Drosophila melanogaster: one gene and its partners. The protein of the gene in region 1 interacts with the protein of each later gene in a pairwise test. Each region holds a gene or a part of one and is shown in the gene's direction. Other genes may lie near its edges. The genes, in order: HLH54F, CG5721, CG15269 and CG17195.

Region 1 (5,296 bases):
TCTTACCCCTCGCAGTCTGCTCCAGCAGTAGATCATCCACTCCGCAATTCTCGATTACCTGTGCTCCGAGATTAGTGGCTGCCTTTTTGAGGGCCGCACACAGCATCGCCGGATCCATGACACCATCACCCGGAGAATAGAGAGCGCCCACAAATGCCGACGGATCGAGGAGGGGAAATAACTTTTGGGTGTCCTCCGGACTCAGCACTTGGTTTTCAATACCCAAAGCTGAGCCCACAGTGGCCAGTCTGCGATACTCGTCCAGTCGCGTTTCATTGTGAGCAATGAAGATGCCACCATTTTGAATCCATCCCGGATCCAGCTCCGTTTCCTCCTCCAATTGCTGCAGCATGCGACGTGAATTAGCCAGCAGCTGAATATCCACATCGTTGGGACGCAGGCGCCACAGCAATCCAGCCGTGTGCCAGGTGGTTCCGGCCGTAAGTTGGGCGCGTTCCAGGAGCACGGCCTTGACACCACGTCGTGCCAGGTGATACAGTGTGTGACAGCCCGCCGAACCACCGCCAATAACCACAACATCTGCTGCGCCTGGCAGGAATCCACTTGGTTCCCTTCGAGCTCCTCCATCTTCCCTCACTTGTTTGCTGATTCCACGGCGCGAAGCTTGCTGCAGGATGCGATGGCGCCACATCTCAAAAACGGCCGAGCGCGACGACTTTAGAATCTCAACTGAATTCTCGAGTTAAAAACACAATACCGCCATAATAATCTCCCGCTGAATTGATCGGATAACCCATGGTTCAGCATCCTGATAAACCTGCTGTGCCAGTGACGTTCCATCCATGACTGGAGGCCCTAATCAAGGCCACGTTTTAGGGTCACAGCACGTTTCTTATCTGGGTTCGGAGGCGTGGCAAGTAGTAAAATTAGTTAGCAGCTACGTAGGTCAAAAAACAATTTAATCTGAGCAAATTTTTAGTTTCAATAAAGATGCGGTTTAACAGATGCTTCTTGCTAATATGTTGTGGTTTCAATTAATCCATTCATATAAATAGATTTATTAAACTCTTGCTTTTCTTTTAAAAGCACTTAAAGAAAACGTAAATTCTATAGATTAAACAAAGTGTTGCCTACATATATGTACATATATTTTCGAGTATTTTCATTTCCCGCAGAAAATTTGAAAAGTCAAAATCGTTCTCGGAACTTAAAACTCCCCACATAAGCAATGAAATTTTGGACCCATACTCAAATGCCAACCATCGCGGCGACCCCAAACAGGATACGCAGTTGAACCCCAGGATTATAATCTCTTCCGATCTGCCATTAATGCCTATCTCCAAATGCACTGCGAGATCGAATACCAGGTGGTGCCATCTGGAGCCGGAGTCTTGGCACGCTTCGCACTCGCCCGTCGCACATCCTTACGGCACAACATCCCCACTCCAACGCCCGTAGTGAACCGGATAAACCGAGCGTTTCATTTTGAATTTTCCCGCAGACCGACGGAGGAACACTGTGTGGCCAATGTGGTGGCAGCCAGAAGGCAAACAACCGAGAAAGAGACCGCCGATCGCACCATGTGTCCGGATTCCTCCGCCAATTGGGACTGTTTGCGGAGCAGGCACGCCCACCAGAGGTGCCAGAAATAGACGGAATCTGGAGAGCTGCAAACTGCGGAGCAGAATGCTCAAAAAGGAGGATCTCCCCGTAACCCGTGACAGAAGTGCTCTACGTGCCACGCAGATCGGACGTATTCGACTCACAGATTGGTTTCGGTTCGGTGCGTTTCGATTTTAAGTGAGAAAACTGAGTGATTGGAATTTTATATCCAATTTGAAAATATTCGAAGTGATTCTTGTGATACCACCAACTTGTTTTTGAACAATGCCACGCAAGAAGCGCAGTTCCAGCCCCACGGAGTTCTTTGATGACGACTTCGATGAGGATGCCAGTTCTCAAAGTGAGTTCGATTTCAATTTATAGGTGATTTTGTACTTATATTAAAAAGATGTATTATAAACGCTTAAAAACGTTGACAATGTAAATATGTTTAGCTAGTTTTGTAAATTTATTATTTACTTTAAAGTAAAATTCAATTTCCTTAGAATTTTTTAAATCGAACTTTAGAATTTACCTTAAAAGGAATGTTAATTTAAAATGCGTTAAGCTCTAAATGAAAATATAATAATAATGATAAAAATTATAATAACAGAAAGCACAATAGATATAAATTGAGTTTAAAATTCATACTCCATATGCTTTTTGAACTTCATACTTTGCGAAGATATCTATAATGTAACTTAAAACTTTTGTGGATACCAATAAAACCTTTTGTTTCTAATTAATCTCTTGTTATTGGAGCTCCTTAAGATGTATCTACATTTCTGATTTTCCAGGCTCCCAACCGCCGGTGCAGCGAAATGCGGCAAATGCCCGGGAGCGGATGCGTATGCGGGTTTTATCCAGCGCCTACGGACGTTTGAAGACCAAGCTGCCCAACATTCCGCCGGACACGAAGCTCTCCAAGTTGGACACGTTGCGTTTGGCCACGCTCTACATCAAGCAGCTAATTACGGCTGTGGAGACAGGCAGCCACTCGCAGAACCACCCGCACAACCACAACCAGCACCACAGCCTCAACCACAGTCACTCGAGTACCACCAGTTCCGAAGGCCTGGACACAAGTCACATGGCAGATTCGTCCGGTGGAGGCAATTATAATTTCCACAACAACGGACACGGCATGGTAAGTGTCATGCAATTGCGATCCCCCTGCCCGAATATAAGTGATGTCACTGCCACCACTTAACGATGCACTGCACCCGCGGCTCGGGGGAACGGGAACGCATTAATGAGCCGGCCACTTCAGGTGGATCTCGTCAGTTAATGACAGGTGTCGCAGGGGATGCCCAGTGATATGCCCAAGATCAATGTTTATTCATGGATTTCAGTCTAATTGAGAAGTAATGTTCAGCCGATCGGGATTCCCATAAGTTTATGTCTTTTTATGGAAAGTTTGGTATTGGGAATGAAAATTTTTCTTTTATGCGTTTTCTTTGAAAAGCCATTAAGGAAATAAAGTAGGTAGATATTTGTAAATTTTGCTAGTTGAAATTAGCCTTTCGTAGAATTTTAACTTAGAGATCGTGGAAAGTTACACGGAAACCCAGGCTTCAGTGTTTAAAATTTAAAAAATTGATACTATTACAATTTAAACGTATACGCAATCTATTATTCTCATTTTTTTTTTAACAAGCAACTTAAGTATTTAGTAATACTACTCAACTTATAGGGGTAATTCAACGCAATTTTAGCGAAATATAGATCAAAAATCCAAAGGAATGTGGTGCAACATCTGCTTGGTGATGCGGACGCGATGCGGCGACAAGTATTTCCACCTTTTCTAGATGTGGAGGTGAACCACAAACGTAACCACATCCACATCCCATGACCGGAGTCAGCCATTCAGCCGGGCCCCCCACTAGAACACCGAAATCACATTTTGTGATTTCAGACTGCCTTGCTTTCCTGTAATCCGATACTTTTGTGAATTTCGAAAATATTAAATATGAGTGACAGGCTGTTGGTGGAGCGGGCAGGGAACGGAGATGGTAACGCAGACCTGCGGATCTGGATGGGGGGCACTAGTTAGTCTTTGCTTTTATTTTTTATTTTTAAAGATGCTCTTGATGCTTTGAAGCGACACAGTGAATGACATGCGAGGGAAAGTGTCATCCTCAGTAGTTTTCCCACTCGGATTATTGTAATTAAAATTTGTCTAACCGTGTTTATCCATCAGCCATTCCCGCTGGAGTTTACACAATCTATCACTCAAGATTCATGGCGTGCACAACTTATCTAAATAGATGCAATTGTTTACACACCGAATGCGTGAAAAATTCAGCAAATACGGCTCCGTCTTGTGCCCATATGGTGGCAAATCAGATCGGATCGGAGAGTCCCGACCCTATCCGAATTTATACCATCCACGCGCCCAAGATGATCTGTTGGGAACAACCCATTGGTTCGCTATTTGCTCGCTAGCCCTAGCATCCCTATATCCCATTTCCAATCCCTCATTGTATGGCATACAAATGAGTGTCTCTTGTCCGCAAGTGTTTGGCTGTTTATGTTTTTATAGATCCGTTAATGAGGCTGTTATTGTAGATCTAGACGTGGAGGCGGGGGTGGGCACTAAAAACAATCAAAGTTGCGTAAACAAACAATGGCGCTGTCTCGGGATGGGTTGTCGTCATATTGTTCCATATATAGCCCCTGCGGTTTCCACAACTCCTATGATTTATGCCTGTTTTATCCACACATTCCACATTATACTGTCTTGCAGAGCTGGCCCTTTGAGTTCCACCAGAGTAGCCGGAGTTTGGCATTTGCCCCATCATCATCAACCACCTCATCCGCCCGTATGGATTGGCAAACCCTGCATACGCAATCTTATCCGAAGACTACGCGAGGCGAAACCCATGTTTCGGCGGATCTAAGTTACCATCAGTTGCCGGAATCTCACAGTCACTGGTATCCGGCGGAAGTGCATCAAATGGAGCCAGCGGCCAGCTGTTCCTATGACTCTGGAATGGGGCAGCATCAGCGGGGCATAGCTATAGCCACTAGCCATGCCCATGGCATTTAAGCGGATATTATAAATAATGTTCTGACCTAAGCCAAATGAATTTACCACCTAGTAAGTGTATTAAATCGTGATTTAATTTTACGTGTTTCCGTATGTGCAAGCCTGAACCTATGCTATAAGGCCAAAGATTGGTGTTACCTCATGATCATTTAGCTAGCAAATATATCTATGTTTTTAATAAAATTGGAATTTTTGAATTTTTTTGAATTGGCGCCAAGATTATGGTGACTGTATCCCTGGAGTTGTCGAGTGCTGCCGTACTTGTTTGTATTTTGCAGCCCTGTTCAACAGCTGATTTCGTCACAATACAAACAAAGAGCTGCTAAAAACAAAATTAATCTATTAATTAAGGCGGAATTCAAATACCCTACTTTTTTTAAAACGGCTAATTTGAGACATTTTAAAGATGTTATTTATGCAGAAAGATGTAGTGAATTTGCATTATTCACTTGCAAACAAATTATACGAACAAAGAAGCTTATGAAAGCAATCTTATTTAAATTAGAAACAAACTGAAAGAAAACGCCCAAGTACTTTTTACATGCAGTGTATTTATTTTGTGTATTTACTCATAAATGTAGCCCAACAACAATGGCGTGAGAATAATGGTTGTGCTACAGACTATTTCAACACAAAAGCGAACTTATTACATGTGTATTTTCGCGGTTAAAGTTCACGTCGTTC
Region 2 (4,171 bases), 430 kb from region 1:
TGCAATTGAAACAGACCCAGCAGGTGAGTCCAGCTGTGGGTGAGAATTAACCAGGTCTAATTGACTTCCTGACAGGTGCCCGCCGAGCTCTACGAGGCAGTCACCATTTACTTTAGCGACATCGTGGGTTTCACCGAAATAGCTGCGGATTGCACTCCACTGGAGGTAAAGTACCACTATCACTTTATTCATCATATCATTTTGCTAATCAACTTTGGTTTAAGCATATCTTGTAACTAACATTCAACTTTAGTTGTATTTAGGTATAATTTGTATTCCTTTGACATTTATCTCTAATGAGAGATACATCTCACACTTTCAGGTGGTGACCTTCTTGAATTCAATTTACCGGGTGTTCGACGAGCGTATCGAGTGCTACGATGTCTATAAGGTTGAGACGATTGGGGACTCATATATGGTGGCATCGGGTCTGCCGGTGAAGAACGGTAATTTATGCAAATTCAGCTGTCAGTCATTCAGTCATTTAAACCCCGCCCGCCGGCAACATCCCACTGCTTGACTGCCCCAAAAAGATTTGCGCTAATTTAAATTTCATTTGTGGCCATGCGCGTAATTTATGCCATGGAACTTTCCGACCCGCTGCCTCTGCAGGGAACAAGCACATCAGCGAGATAGCAACAATGGCCCTTGATTTGCTGGACGCCTCGTCGGTGTTCCGGATTCCCCGGGCAGGAGACGAATTTGTTCAAATACGATGCGGTGTGCACACGGGTCCGGTTGTCGCCGGTATCGTTGGCACCAAAATGCCGCGCTACTGCCTCTTCGGCGACACGGTGAACACGGCCTCGCGGATGGAGAGCACCGGCGAGGCGCAGAAGATACATATCACCGAGGAGATGCACGACTCGCTGCAACAGGTGGGCGGATTCCGTACCGAACACCGCGGCCTCATCGATGTCAAGGTATTTGCAATCGATCAAAATCATTCTTACGAACCTTGAGGATTCTACTTAAGATGTTTACACTGCGTATGAGTAATGTTTGTAAATTACCGTTAGCCCTTAGTATAATTCAGTTCCTTTTAACTCCCATTAGTTCGCTATAGCTTTTTGTGTACCGTGTTTTTTCCATACTTTTAAAACAACTTTTTTTGTTGGGTGAACCTGCAAACTGTTTCATTTTCAGGGTAAGGGTCTAATGAGCACCTACTGGCTGACCTGCAAGGACGGACCGGTTAGGGCTCGCGAGGAGATCTCGTGGCGGGCGGACATACAGCCCGTGTTTCTTGACCACCTGAAGCTGCATCCGCCAACCGACTACAAGCTGCCAAAGCGGAAATGAGATGCAACCAACTGCAAGTTTTCCGGCTAGGCCAAATAATGCTTATCCTGGCCATAAATTCGAGGTGCTTTTCTTTTGGATGTGCATGCATTAGTGTCCCGCTCTCTCAATCTCTCTATTTAAATATCTAAGTATCTTTCCTTTCTATCAAAAAGTTGAAGTTACACGGTGCACCAAGTGTAGATAAAATATACAACATAAAATTCGTCTTAATTTTAAATTCGCTTCAAAATATAATAATTAAATCACTTCCTTGAAAAAAAGTGGAAGTGCAACTGATGCATCGTGTACAACAACTTTAAACGCTTCAATGGCCAATCGTCTTTTTACATGTAATACACAGTGCAAATCACAAGCATGCGGCCAAAATACAGACTTATGTTAATAAAAAATATGCGAGAAATACATTGTTACCATTCGTTTTCCAACCACAGTGATGGGACATATATAAAGAAACCTAAAATCTTTTCTTTCACTTCTTTAGTTATAAAATAAGGTTATAATTTATTTTTTATCAAATTCGGTGTTAGTATTAATACAACAATTTTTTTGAGTGTTCAATGGTGAGTTTTATTAAACCGTACAACGATATGTATCGAATGTAAATCAGCTGGAAGTATGACCGCCCTGCGAAGTGCGATAGTGTGACCGCAGCCACTAAATTCGAACTGTGCCTGTGTGCCTGCGTGTGGGCGTGTGTGTGTGTGTGGGAAGTTACAGAGAGAACAAAGTAAAATTTGAAAAGTTAAAGCTGCAGCTGCTGAGGGCATAGCCAAAATTGGACGAATCACTGCCATGGCCAAGGTTATATCGCAGGACACCTTCGACGATGTTGTGAAGGAGAACGTTGTGGAGTTCTCGATGACTCCTTCGGAGGCGAAAGAAGAGACCATCAAGCAATTCGAGGCACAGGTAAGTAATGTCGACATAGTCATCCAGTAGATTCACTTTAATGAAATGATTGCAGGGCATCAACCTGGCCAACATTATCAAGGACCTGTCCGTCAATCCGCAAACCGGCCAACCTGTCATCAACGAAACGGTGGACAAGATCAAGGAGCACATTGGCCAAAAACTGGAGGAAACAACGGAGCTGCTGGAACAGCTGGCCACCTTGGATGCTGAGTGCAAAAAGTCGCTAGCCCATAGGGTTCTAGCCGGCAAAAATGGAGCCCACGATGCCCTGATCACCCTGTTGGAGGAGACGCTCTCTGCTGAGTCACCCAACGAATCCGTGTTAAAAAAGTCCTTGGAAGCCATCAACAGCCTGACCCACAAGCAGCCGGATCTGTTTGATGCCGAGGCGATGGCCGTGGTTCTCAAGTTACTGGCCCTCAAAGTGGAGAGTGAAGAAGTCACCCTGTTGACTCTTCAATGGCTGCAGAAGGCCTGCATCATGCATGAAATGAACCGCCAGAATATCATGAATACCTCCGCACTCAAACTCATGAAGCCCCTTTTAGGGAAAGGGAAGGACCGCCTGGTGCGTGAACTGACCGCCGTCTTCCGCTTCCTAGTGCTGGATGATGACATTCGCGTTGAGTTTGGATGCGCCCACGAGCACGCCCGCCAAATAGCAGGCGAGGTGCTCATCACCTTGGTGGAACTTTTGCCGGCCTATCAGGATCCTAATGTTCTGGCTGATCTTCTGCTGACCATTGGAACACTGGCTGTGCGTCAGGAACTCTGTACAGCTATCGACGAGGCTGGTGGACTGAAGTCCGTCTTCGAGATCATGAGTTCGAATTTGGATGAGGTGCGTCTAAATAGAGAGGCCTTAAAGTTGCTACGTGCCCTGGCTGGCCAAGACTCCGTGAAGTCACATATAGTACAGCAGGGCGTGGCTCCTATAATAAAGCAATTGCTAGAGACGCACCAGTCCAATGAAAACATCGTTGCCGCCGCTTTGGCCTGCGTGACTACTCTGACACTCCGAGTGCAGGAACACAGTGCCGCCTTTTTCGATACCGGCATCGCCGAAGTAATCGTGGAGGCTCTTCGCGCCCATCCCAAACACAAGATAGTCCAGCGAAACGGAGCGTGGGCCATCCGCAATATGGTGTCACGGTCGCGGAACCAGTGTGAAACCTGGATCTCCTTCGGCGTTGAGGATCTACTAAATATGGCAATGAAGGAGCACCCCAGTGTGGAGCAGGACATCAAGGCGGCGTTGCGCGACCTCGGCTGTAGTGTCCACTTGCGCGAGGAATGGACGGGCACGGCGGAGAAAAAAATTGCCGCCTAATCGCACACACATATGCCTTTTGTATTTTTATATATTTACTGCTAAATTATTACTATTGCTTAATTCATGCATTGGCTAACTAACAAAATCGGCAATCCTCAATACCAATCGCGTGCTAATACCCAACTGGGGCAGTCTCTTATGATCACATGGCTGTGGACTTATTTGCCCAGGTTAAAGTTGCGCAGCGAGCCGGCTTTAAGACGCTGGTTGACATTCCGGGAAAGGGCGGTCGAGGATCTGATTGTGGAAAGACCCTCTTCCTCGGCGCGCTGCGCAAAGGGGTCAACCTTCTCAGAACCGCCCATTCCATTGTAGACAAAATTTGAGCCCGTCGTGGCCGTCAACGCAGAACTACTTGAACTTCCCAGCAGCAGTCTTGGCTTCTTGAAGATTGAATACTGGGGGAATATACGGAATTTTTAAATGGTTAAGTGGAATTCGGCAAAATTATTGCGTTTACCTTTTCACTGAGATCACTGCTGGTTTTCCGTATGGTTCCGCTGGTCATAGACACACCGCCACCGACTCCCTTGATGGGCGATATTTTAGACTTGGCCAGCCCAATGTTACCCTTAGTATTAAGAAGATGCGCCAACCCGACGCTGCTGGATTTAATGTTGA
Region 3 (6,035 bases), on another chromosome or scaffold:
AGATGGAGCTGGCAATGGAGGGACTTCGCATGGGGCAGCCACGTAGCTTTTGTAAAACAAACCATTAGCAGCTAATAAACATTAGTCATGCGACAAAACAAAGTCTCCTGGAGTCTGCTGCAGAGGCCCGATGATTTAGTGAGTGTAATTAAAACTTAAGTTTCCTTCGCTTCGCATATGTAAATTATCTGGCGGAATTCCACGAAATGCCAACCGAACTGAAAAAAAAAAACGAAATACGAAAAAGAGTTTTTCAACTAAGGTTGAACAAGTTTTGTGGTGTTCGCCCGGTCCTCATATGTATAATTATAATGAATAGCCTGTTTAATCAAAATTTATGCAGATCGTGGTCAACCAAAGCGAGCAGCGCGTGTTGACAGTCAAACCATTATTAATCACTGGCAAGAGGATCGGTAGTTGGCTAGCGCGGAGGATTTGAAGGGGCTTCTCCGCCAGGTAATCCTGATAAGATCGTTTTGTAAGTGATCGTGGACAAATCGTGTGCAAGATTGTGCCTTGCGCATTAGAGTCTCTCTATGCGGCAATTGGCAATTAGAAAACAGAGACTTTCAATCCTCCAATCCTTGTGAGTCAGAATATCAACTCCATTTCACCGGATCTCATTCCATGTAGCTGTAAATGTATACCACTTCATTTGTATCTGCAGCTTCCTTGAATTCGCGTGGTGTGTCACCATTTTACTTCACCTGTGTATGGATCCTCCGAATCCTCGGCCTGGATACCATGTTATTTATGCGCGTTTCATCCAATCACAAATCACTTGAGGAGCATTTTGTTTTGCACATTTTTATGGCCGCTACTGATGCTATGCAAGTCGAGGAAGTGGTCACAGTCCCTCTTGGATGGCAACTAAATGTAGTGGATCAAGCTTAAATGCTTCAGAAAGAGGTATTTGTAGGGCACCCTTAATTGGCATAGGCTATTTTTTAATAAATTTATGGAAAAATATTTGGGTTCAAATTGTTGTTTCTTAAAAATTCTTTACTTTACTTTAATGGCACAGCACGTCCTTAATTACTAAAATATTTCAAGAGGGTGTCATAATCATCCATATATGATTATTTAGACCTTTTGGGCTTACGTTAAGTTTTTTGGCCAGTGTGGTCAATCATGAACCGTTAACAACCCTTTTTAAATTCGCAAGAAAAATACCTGATTTCCTATACACCATTTTGACGATCGTTTGACGGTTATGTCATCTAGTCCCTAGCTTCAATTCCTTCCCACACTCACACATGGCTAAGACTGCAGAGCCGTGACGAACCAAGTCACCTCAAGAGATGATCGCTGCGCATGCGCATAACCGTAAGATTCACACATGCCTGGGAATCGGATTCGGAATCAGCGAGGATGTGAATGTGGACGGGGATGAGAATGTGTGTGTGTGGATGAGGAACAAGAGAAATACATTTTGAAAATTTAACGATGCGCACATTTTATTACCGCAATTAATTACAAAAACAACGCGGCCAAAACGAAATCTTAGTCACTTTATCAGAGAGGTCCAGTGGATAAAAAAAATGAAAGAGAGTAGTGCACGGAGAGCGATCTGAAAGGAGCGATAAGGTTTATGATAGATGTGACTAGTAGAACGCTACTAGCAAATGGTTCTGGGTCTGCAGATTGCAGCTCCTCTCGTAATTGGAGGCGCGACAGTTTGTCTCCAGCAGTCAAACCTGGTTAATTGGAGAAGAGACTCCCGGTCTATGAGAGAGAGAGATACGGAGCGAGACCGACCTGTACGGTCAAACCTGTTTCTCGACCAATTAAATTCGAGAGCGGGAGCGTAAGCCAGGCTTTAGGCCCGGCCAAAAGACGATGACGGCTGCTGTGGGCTGTGAGGCCAAGACATTTCGTGTTTCGACGCGTAACGCGACAGTTCCCCGGGCTAAAAAGCGCCTACGCCTCAGAAAATAGTCATCCGAAACGGTAACGCCTGCGGTCTATGAGTGATTCTTCGGTGTGGAGAAGAATGGGTTTCAAGCACGCCATGCTGCAGCGCAGTTACGACCTTTCGCCCTCGCCGGCGCGTACTTCACCCACCAATGGAGTCCAGAACTTGGGAGCTGGGGCACAGTTGCCACCGGCTCAAGTCACTGACTTTAGCATCAGTAAGATTCTGGGCAAGGAGCGTAAATCCGCTCAGGATACGAGCACGAATATCCTGGATCTATCCAAGAGCAGTAGCAACAGTATTAGGAGCCCACAGGCTCTTGGAGGGCTGGCAATACCATCAACTCCTTATGCCTCCGGTGCCTACTCCATGTTGCCGCCAGATTTGGTGGCCATGGCCAATGCCACCAAGTTCTATGCCCAATTCTTCCCGCACTTACTGCCCGCCTATGCGGCTGCTGCAGCGGCTGCCGGCTTGAGTACTCCTCCTACGTCGCCCTATCAAACACATCAGCATCAGCAGCATTTGCCAAATCAGCAGAAACGCTTCTTTGCTCCCTATGTGATCAATGGATCGGTTCCCCCACCACCACCACTGCAGCAGCAACAGCAACCTCTCATACGCACCAAAAGCACCGCATGCACTCGTCCGGATTGCCCGGAGTGCCTGGATTATTACCAAAGATTGCAGACTGGTGGCTATAAGCAGACCGCACCTCTCATCTCACCCGCCGCCTCCTCGGTGAGCAGTTCCACCGGATCAATACGTCCTGTGAGGGATCTGATTATGAGTGCCACTGGAGGAGCCGCCAGCACTAACATCTCACTGACCACCGTGACCAATCTGAGTCTGAACTCGGTCCAGGCAACGGCCGTCGGAATGATGCCCAAGATGACCGGTGGACTGATCACCACAGCCGTCGGCAGCAACAGTGGAGCAATCGGTGGTATCGGTGGATACAATGCCACATCCGCCGAGGAGATCAGCTACAAGTGCCGGATTTGCGAGAAGGTATTCGGATGCTCTGAAACTCTGCAGGTGAGATTTTATTATTGTTATTAAATTATTATTACGATGGTGTTCTGTTTACAAGTATATATCATTTATGACAACCAAAGCGTTTAGTTATCAGTTATTAGCTTTAGAAAAGATAATTCATCCTAAATATATTCCAAACTCTAACCCAAGGATTCAATTTATTCTTAAAATCCCTCAAAAACGAGTAAACACAAAACACCCACGAAACAAATTTTTATATTTATAGTGTAGACAGAATTTTAATTTTTTTTATTTCATTAGACCTTCAACTTTTAAAAAATGAAATACAAATATTCAAAAAATATATGCAATTCCCAATTAGAATTTAAGAATGAAATGATTTAGATTTGCCAGATTATATTTTATTTCAGTTTGCTGCTGTTTAGTTATAAAAAAAGCGAAACGAAATGAACGATTGTATGAAATTTTCTTATAAATTAAATAGCACAATCAAACTTATACGTAAAGTCACTTAAAGAGTTTGTACTTACACACAAGCATTTGGCAAATGCACGCGTATTTTTTTTTTTAATTATAAGTAACAAAAAAATTAATGATTTAGATCTCATCAACGGTTACGTATACATTTATCACAAAGAAATATGTGTTTATGCGGAGTACTAAATGATTGAGAATTATTATTGCAAAGCCATTAAATAACTTTAGGAATTTAACTCCTTTCAAAACATCTAAGCCAAGAACAGCATTAACCTTTCACATGGCCATACATCACATAAGATATCGTTTGGCCGGTCCTCAAAGTCCACATCCACACGAGATCCTCCCAAAACGGGTTTCTTCACCAACAGAGATACCATATGGATTTGGGCGGGGCCTAAAAAACAGAGAAACAGTAGTCTAATTGGAAGGCGGAGCTCCGAAGAAAAGAGTGGAGATTCAAGTGGAGTGGGGAAGAGAGAGGCAGCGAAGAATTGAGTGCCTTATGCAAATCTCGCAAGCAATCCGAGTTCAAAATGGAGTCGGCCGAAAACAGAAACAGAAGCGGGCAAAAAAGAGAGAACTGGTTTTACGCATGGGTGCAGCTACAAGATACGTTAGAAAGGGCCAGACGCCGAGCGAGAGGTAATCACAAAATGGCCACTTTGGGAAAGAACACCAATTTCAGTAGCTAACTGAAGCAAGCCACATTTGAAGTTGCAACAAAATTATTACAAACAATGGGGAACATTCGAATGTGTAACCATGGTATTTTTTGCATTTCTGGCTTATTTTGTATAAGTATAAATGTGTCCAAAGCTCAGTTTTCAGTAACTTTATATTCGAAATCTTCCAATCCTCACTAGAACTTATAGAATAAGGTATTAATATTAGGACCTAATTAAAATGTTGCTAAACATACTCATCTTGAAAGCCTCCCTTCCAAAAACTAACTAACTAACGAACAGTTTGTAGAAAATCGCTGTTTTATGAATTTCACAACAGATTTTCACTACCTCAGGTTTTTTATTAAAATTTTAAATCTCTTACTATTGCTACAATATTACTATTGCTAAGCTAATGTATCTTATTTATTTATCTTATTTGTCTATTATGTTCTTATTTCAGGCTCATGAAAAGACGCACAAATCGCCGCGTTACGAGTGTGCGGATTGTGGAAAGGGTTTCTCCCAGCTGCGAAATTACAAATATCACCTGTCCGTTCACCGAGGAACCAAGGAGTTTGCCGCCGAGTGTCCCGAATGTGGCAAGACATTCAACGATAAGGGATATTTGAGCAGTCACCTAAAGATTCACCGGAACCGGAAGGAGTACGAGTGTCCTTACTGTCCCAAATCGTTCAATCAGCGTGTGGCCTTCAATATGCATGTCCGGATTCATACCGGCGTGAAACCCCACAAATGCAACGAGTGCGGAAAGAGATTTTCGCGTAAAATGCTGCTCAAACAGCACATGAGGACGCACAGTGGTGAGAAACCGTATCAGTGCTCCGTGTGCGGCAAGTCCTTTGCCGATCGCAGCAACATGACCCTGCACCATCGCCTCCACTCGGGAATCAAGCCCTTCAGCTGCCCCCTGTGCCCCAAAGCCTTCACCAAAAAGCATCACCTAAAGACGCATCTGAATTACCATACAGGCTGCAAGCCGTATGTCTGCCCACATCCCAACTGCAATCAGGCATTCACCCAGTCGAGCAATATGCGAACCCACGCTAAGAAGTGTCAGTACCGTCCGTTGGATGGACTCACGGTCACATCATCCGCACTTCCAGTACCGGGAAAACAACAAACAGGTCCACCGCCCACTTTGGCCATGGCCATGGCTCAAACATTTCAAATGCCGCCACCTCCTGGAGTTCTAACACCTGGATCTGGTCCATCCCAACCGCCGAGTCAGCAAACCCTTCTCAGCAATCTCAGGACATTCTAAATGGGTGGAATCGTTGTGCCCGGCCAGTTTCAACCAAATTTGTGGCAATTACAAAGTGCAGTACTTCCACTGTTGTTATTCAATTTACATTTATTTTCAAGCAATAATTTTGCTAGAAATTAAATTAGGAATAGACATTAATTATTATTAAAATAGGCATATATATTGGCCAGTCAATAAAGTATAATATCAAATACAAAAGGATTCCAGGATTCTAGAAATAATATTTTGGATTGGAGATATGATTGGGAGTCCAACTAGGTAATTTCGCTTATAATCAGATAACGCAGCCTTATTTAATTCAAATCTTCTAGTGACAAAAATTAAAAGATGTATGTTTTTTTAGTAAACAAATGAACGAACCGTTGCAGTACATTTAACATATTTAAAAGTGCGCTCTCACTCAGCCAGATGGCGCCACCTGATAGTTTATTACCACTGTAGGTGTGTTGAGTAACTAAACGAAATCTTGCTGTTAAATTGTATTCACAGCTGTCCTAAAACCGAGTTGGCAGCCCTTTTCCCCTCAAAAATCGAAAGTCTGTTAATATATCGATAAGTCAAGGCAATTGTCAGTGGTACCGTTTCGTCTGGTATGACCGTGTTGTGAAATTTTGTTAGAAATTTACAATATAAGCGAGCATAAAAAACGCAGGAAAAGCGCAAAAAAATCAGTAAAACGTGCCTGCGGACC
Region 4 (3,403 bases), on another chromosome or scaffold:
TGCCGGAAATGGCTGCGTCGAATAGCAGCACAAAATGGCTGTTTGTTTGCTTCCGGTCTAGGCCAAAGACGGCAAACACATTTAGCCACGAAGTGAGGAAAGTCCCGCCCCGCCCCATCGTACATATTTTATGCAAACGAAAAGCAAACTGCCACTCTACTTTACGGCAAAAAGAAAAACCACCTCAATAGGTGTGCCATACACCTCAGTGAACTTAAAATGAAAAACCGCGTCCTCACCAGCTTTCCCACCCGACCAGGCCACATTCAAAATGCTTAGTTCATATTAATAATTCATAAAAATTTATGCGAAATAGACAACATTCGTTCCTGCGGTCTAAACCTGGCCGACAGCTGCCATTTTGCGGTCGCTGGGCTGATGAAGTCGACTTAACCCAGCTGTTTCCTACATGTATTTGATATGCATTCCTCGTTGTTTTTATTCTGCTCTTTGTTTATACAACATACAGCTGCTGCAAAATACCATATTTTGCCATGCTGATGCCCTTTTTCCCTCCATTGTTTTTTTTATTTCAATTTATTTTCTGCTTATAAGCTTGCTTTATAAGCAAGGTTTTGCCTATACTGCTTTGAAAATGAAGTAAAAATTTGAGAAACTTTTAGGTGAAAACATTCCATAAGCCAAATCTTTTGAATTGTAGAATTCACTTAGAAGCGCCACTTAAATAAAAATTTTCTGCCTTCACAAATGACGCCAGCAATTATAAAACGTAATTTCGCAATAATCCGCTTAAAAAGGAAAAGAAATTGAATTTGAAACCACCCACCAAAGTACACATACATACAATGCCAGATTTTTACAATTCAGTGGGTGATGCGATTATGTCAGTTAGATACATATTTCCAAATCAAGGCAGTTCTGGTGCCCAAAGTCTATTAAAAATAATTTATTTGATAAATTTAACAATACGTCTGTCATTTATAAATGCTTCGATTTCGAGTTTTATTAAGATCTACTTGCGGTTGGAGTAGAAGAATGTGTTTTCGAGCCGAGGAAGGGTTTCATCGTCACTTTCAACTACATCGCATAAAAGTTATGGGCCTACTTCATCCGTTTTGTGCAATATTTTTACTCTGTCTGATTGGATTGCTGTTTGTCTATGAATTATGCTACGTTTTGCCGCAAATAACTGATCCCCATGGTATATGGCACAAATTGTGTTGGTTTATGGGAATTTATACAGTCATCAATATATTGGGCAACTGGTGGCTCGGCTGTATGACCAATACCTCAGTCGATAGCTTAGTTCTGGAAAGACAGTATCCTGTGGCAGGTGAGGCTCACCTGTGGCACTACTGCTCCACATGCCAAAAGCTGGTGCCACCGAGGTCCTGGCACTGTAGTTTGTGCAACATTTGCATTCTGAAGCGGGATCACCACTGCACCTTCTTTGCCAGTTGCATTGGCCATAAAAATCAGAGGTATTTCCTTGCCTTCTTGTTTCACCTGAGCTTTGGCAGCGGACAGGCGCTCGTCTACAATGGCATTTTGAATTGGACAAACAAGGCCTTTTTGGTCGTCGATCCTTTGTTGCTAATGTTCCAGGATACAACCCAAGATGCTGATTTCAAATGGAAGTACACAATCGCCAACCTTTTCAAACTGAATTTATTTCTTTTTGGCGTCCCCCTCTTCATGTTCGTCTTTCAAATGATAATGGTATATCGGAATAGTACATGCTATAAGATGCTCGATCGCAGCTATGATGTTGGTTGGAGAAGAAATTTTGATATGGTCTTGGGAAAACGGCGCTTCTGGATTTTTTTCTCTCCAACGATCTCAAGTCCTCTTCCTACCGATGGCACTCAGTGGTTCCAGAAGCAGACAGTGTAAATTTTGTTTGTAAAAACTTTGAATATAAGATAGCGAATAAATTCTATTATAATATGTCGGGTTGGCGTTTCTTCTTCTGTGATGTAAATGTTTCTATTTAGTCTATAATTTACAACAGAAGTTTTCAAAATCCTAAAAAATGTGCTACGTGAATAGATTTTGCCATTACTTTGCCAATCGCTACCCGAAGAACTTTGTGAGGATAGTGCATCCACTTTCGATAGTTTTCGTCCTGTGCAGCACAGCTTTCTTCTTCTCACTGCAGATGTTTTACATTGCGCCCAAAGTGTTTGGCGACATTGCTTACAAGCTCTACTGGATATTGGTCACCTTCATAACGCACAACATACTTGGTAACATGCTGGCCTGCTATATGACTAGCTCATCGGTAAACACCTTGTCCAAGGACTCCCGATGCCCGAATCCAGAGGATGAGCCCCTGTGGCACTATTGCGAATCGTGTAAAAAGCTGAGATCGCCACGATCCTGGCACTGCGTTTTGTGCAACACCTGCATTTTGAGACGGGACCACCACTGTATATTCACGGGCACTTGCATTGGACACAATAATCAACGCTTTTTCTTCTGGTTCACATTTTATTTAACGCTCGGCTTAGTCACAAGCTTTGCAACATTTTGTATGTTTATCCTGCAGAATGGCGGTAACTTCATGAGTCTCTCGTCTGTGATTTTTAATTTAATAACTAGGACTTTTTTCCAAAATTATACTGGCAATACTTTTGAGACCATTGCCTTCCTCTTGAATATAAGCGCCAGCTATATGCCTGCCTTTATGTTGGCATATCAAATGCAGATTTTAAGCCAAAACTCTACCTACTATAATATTTTTGATTGCACCTACGATCTGGGTTTCCGAAAGAACTGCCAGACAATAATGGGCCAACGAGGACTTTGGACTTTTATATCGCCCTTGCTGAAGAGTCCTTTGCCCCATGACGGTGCACATTGGCAGATGAAGCAGTCTCACTAAATTAATAGACGTATTACTAAATTATTGAAAAATATATATCGATTTTAACAAGCCAATCATAACTTATTTTCATCTAATGTCAAGTTGTGGAAAATACGGTGTTGTATTCAAAATCCTACAATCATGTGTATCGTAAATGATTGGTGCCGCGAATATGCCAATCTCTATCCTAAGAAGGCCGTGAGCATAGGACATCCTTTGTCAGTGATTTTTTTACTGGTGAGCACGGTTTTTTTCTTCACGCTGCAGGTCTTTTATGTGGCCCCCGATGTGCATGATGGTTTTATGTATAAGTTCTTTGTGATATCAGCGATTTTTACAACATACAATATCCTGGGAAACTTGCTGGCCTGCTACCGTACAAGCTCAGCAGTGAAAAGTCTGCCTCAGGAGCGGCAAATTCCGAAACCGGGAACGGAGCACCTGTGGCATTATTGCGATATCTGTCAGAAACTGATGCCTCCACGATCCTGGCACTGTGCACTGTGTAAATGCTGCATTTTGAAGCGAGACCACCACTGCATCTTCGCAGCCACTTGCATCGGACACAATAATCAC

Evidence for each region.
Region 2: the proteins of HLH54F (region 1) and CG5721 interact in a two-hybrid assay, tested with the Drosophila melanogaster proteins (one large-scale study listed by BioGRID).
Region 3: the proteins of HLH54F (region 1) and CG15269 interact in a two-hybrid assay, tested with the Drosophila melanogaster proteins (one large-scale study listed by BioGRID).
Region 4: the proteins of HLH54F (region 1) and CG17195 interact in a two-hybrid assay, tested with the Drosophila melanogaster proteins (one large-scale study listed by BioGRID).

Annotation. Positions count from the first base shown.
Region 1 is NT_033778.4:17,755,727-17,761,022, forward strand, and holds HLH54F (HLH54F), read left to right. Parts: upstream 1-1,678; 5' UTR 1,679-1,848; coding exon 1,849-1,924; intron 1,925-2,360; coding exon 2,361-2,710; intron 2,711-4,309; coding exon 4,310-4,612; 3' UTR 4,613-4,791; downstream 4,792-5,296. Other genes in the region: Sardh (sarcosine dehydrogenase), read right to left, coding at 1-652.
Region 2 is NT_033778.4:18,181,917-18,186,087, reverse strand, and holds CG5721 (uncharacterized protein), read left to right. Parts: upstream 1-1,997; 5' UTR 1,998-2,097; coding exon 2,098-2,214; intron 2,215-2,269; coding exon 2,270-3,547; 3' UTR 3,548-3,653; downstream 3,654-4,171. Other genes in the region: CG33958 (uncharacterized protein), read left to right, coding at 1-23, 76-165, 323-446, 613-923, 1,147-1,302; nopo (no poles), read right to left, coding at 3,709-3,948, 4,011-4,171.
Region 3 is NT_033779.5:15,107,574-15,113,608, forward strand, and holds CG15269 (uncharacterized protein), read left to right. Parts: upstream 1-1,831; 5' UTR 1,832-2,011; coding exon 2,012-2,953; intron 2,954-4,519; coding exon 4,520-5,341; 3' UTR 5,342-5,519; downstream 5,520-6,035.
Region 4 is NT_033777.3:25,775,772-25,779,174, reverse strand, and holds CG17195 (uncharacterized protein), read left to right. Parts: upstream 1-1,976; 5' UTR 1,977-1,993; coding exon 1,994-2,845; 3' UTR 2,846-2,899; downstream 2,900-3,403. Other genes in the region: CG4956 (uncharacterized protein), read left to right, coding at 946-1,854; CG17196 (uncharacterized protein), read left to right, coding at 2,969-3,403.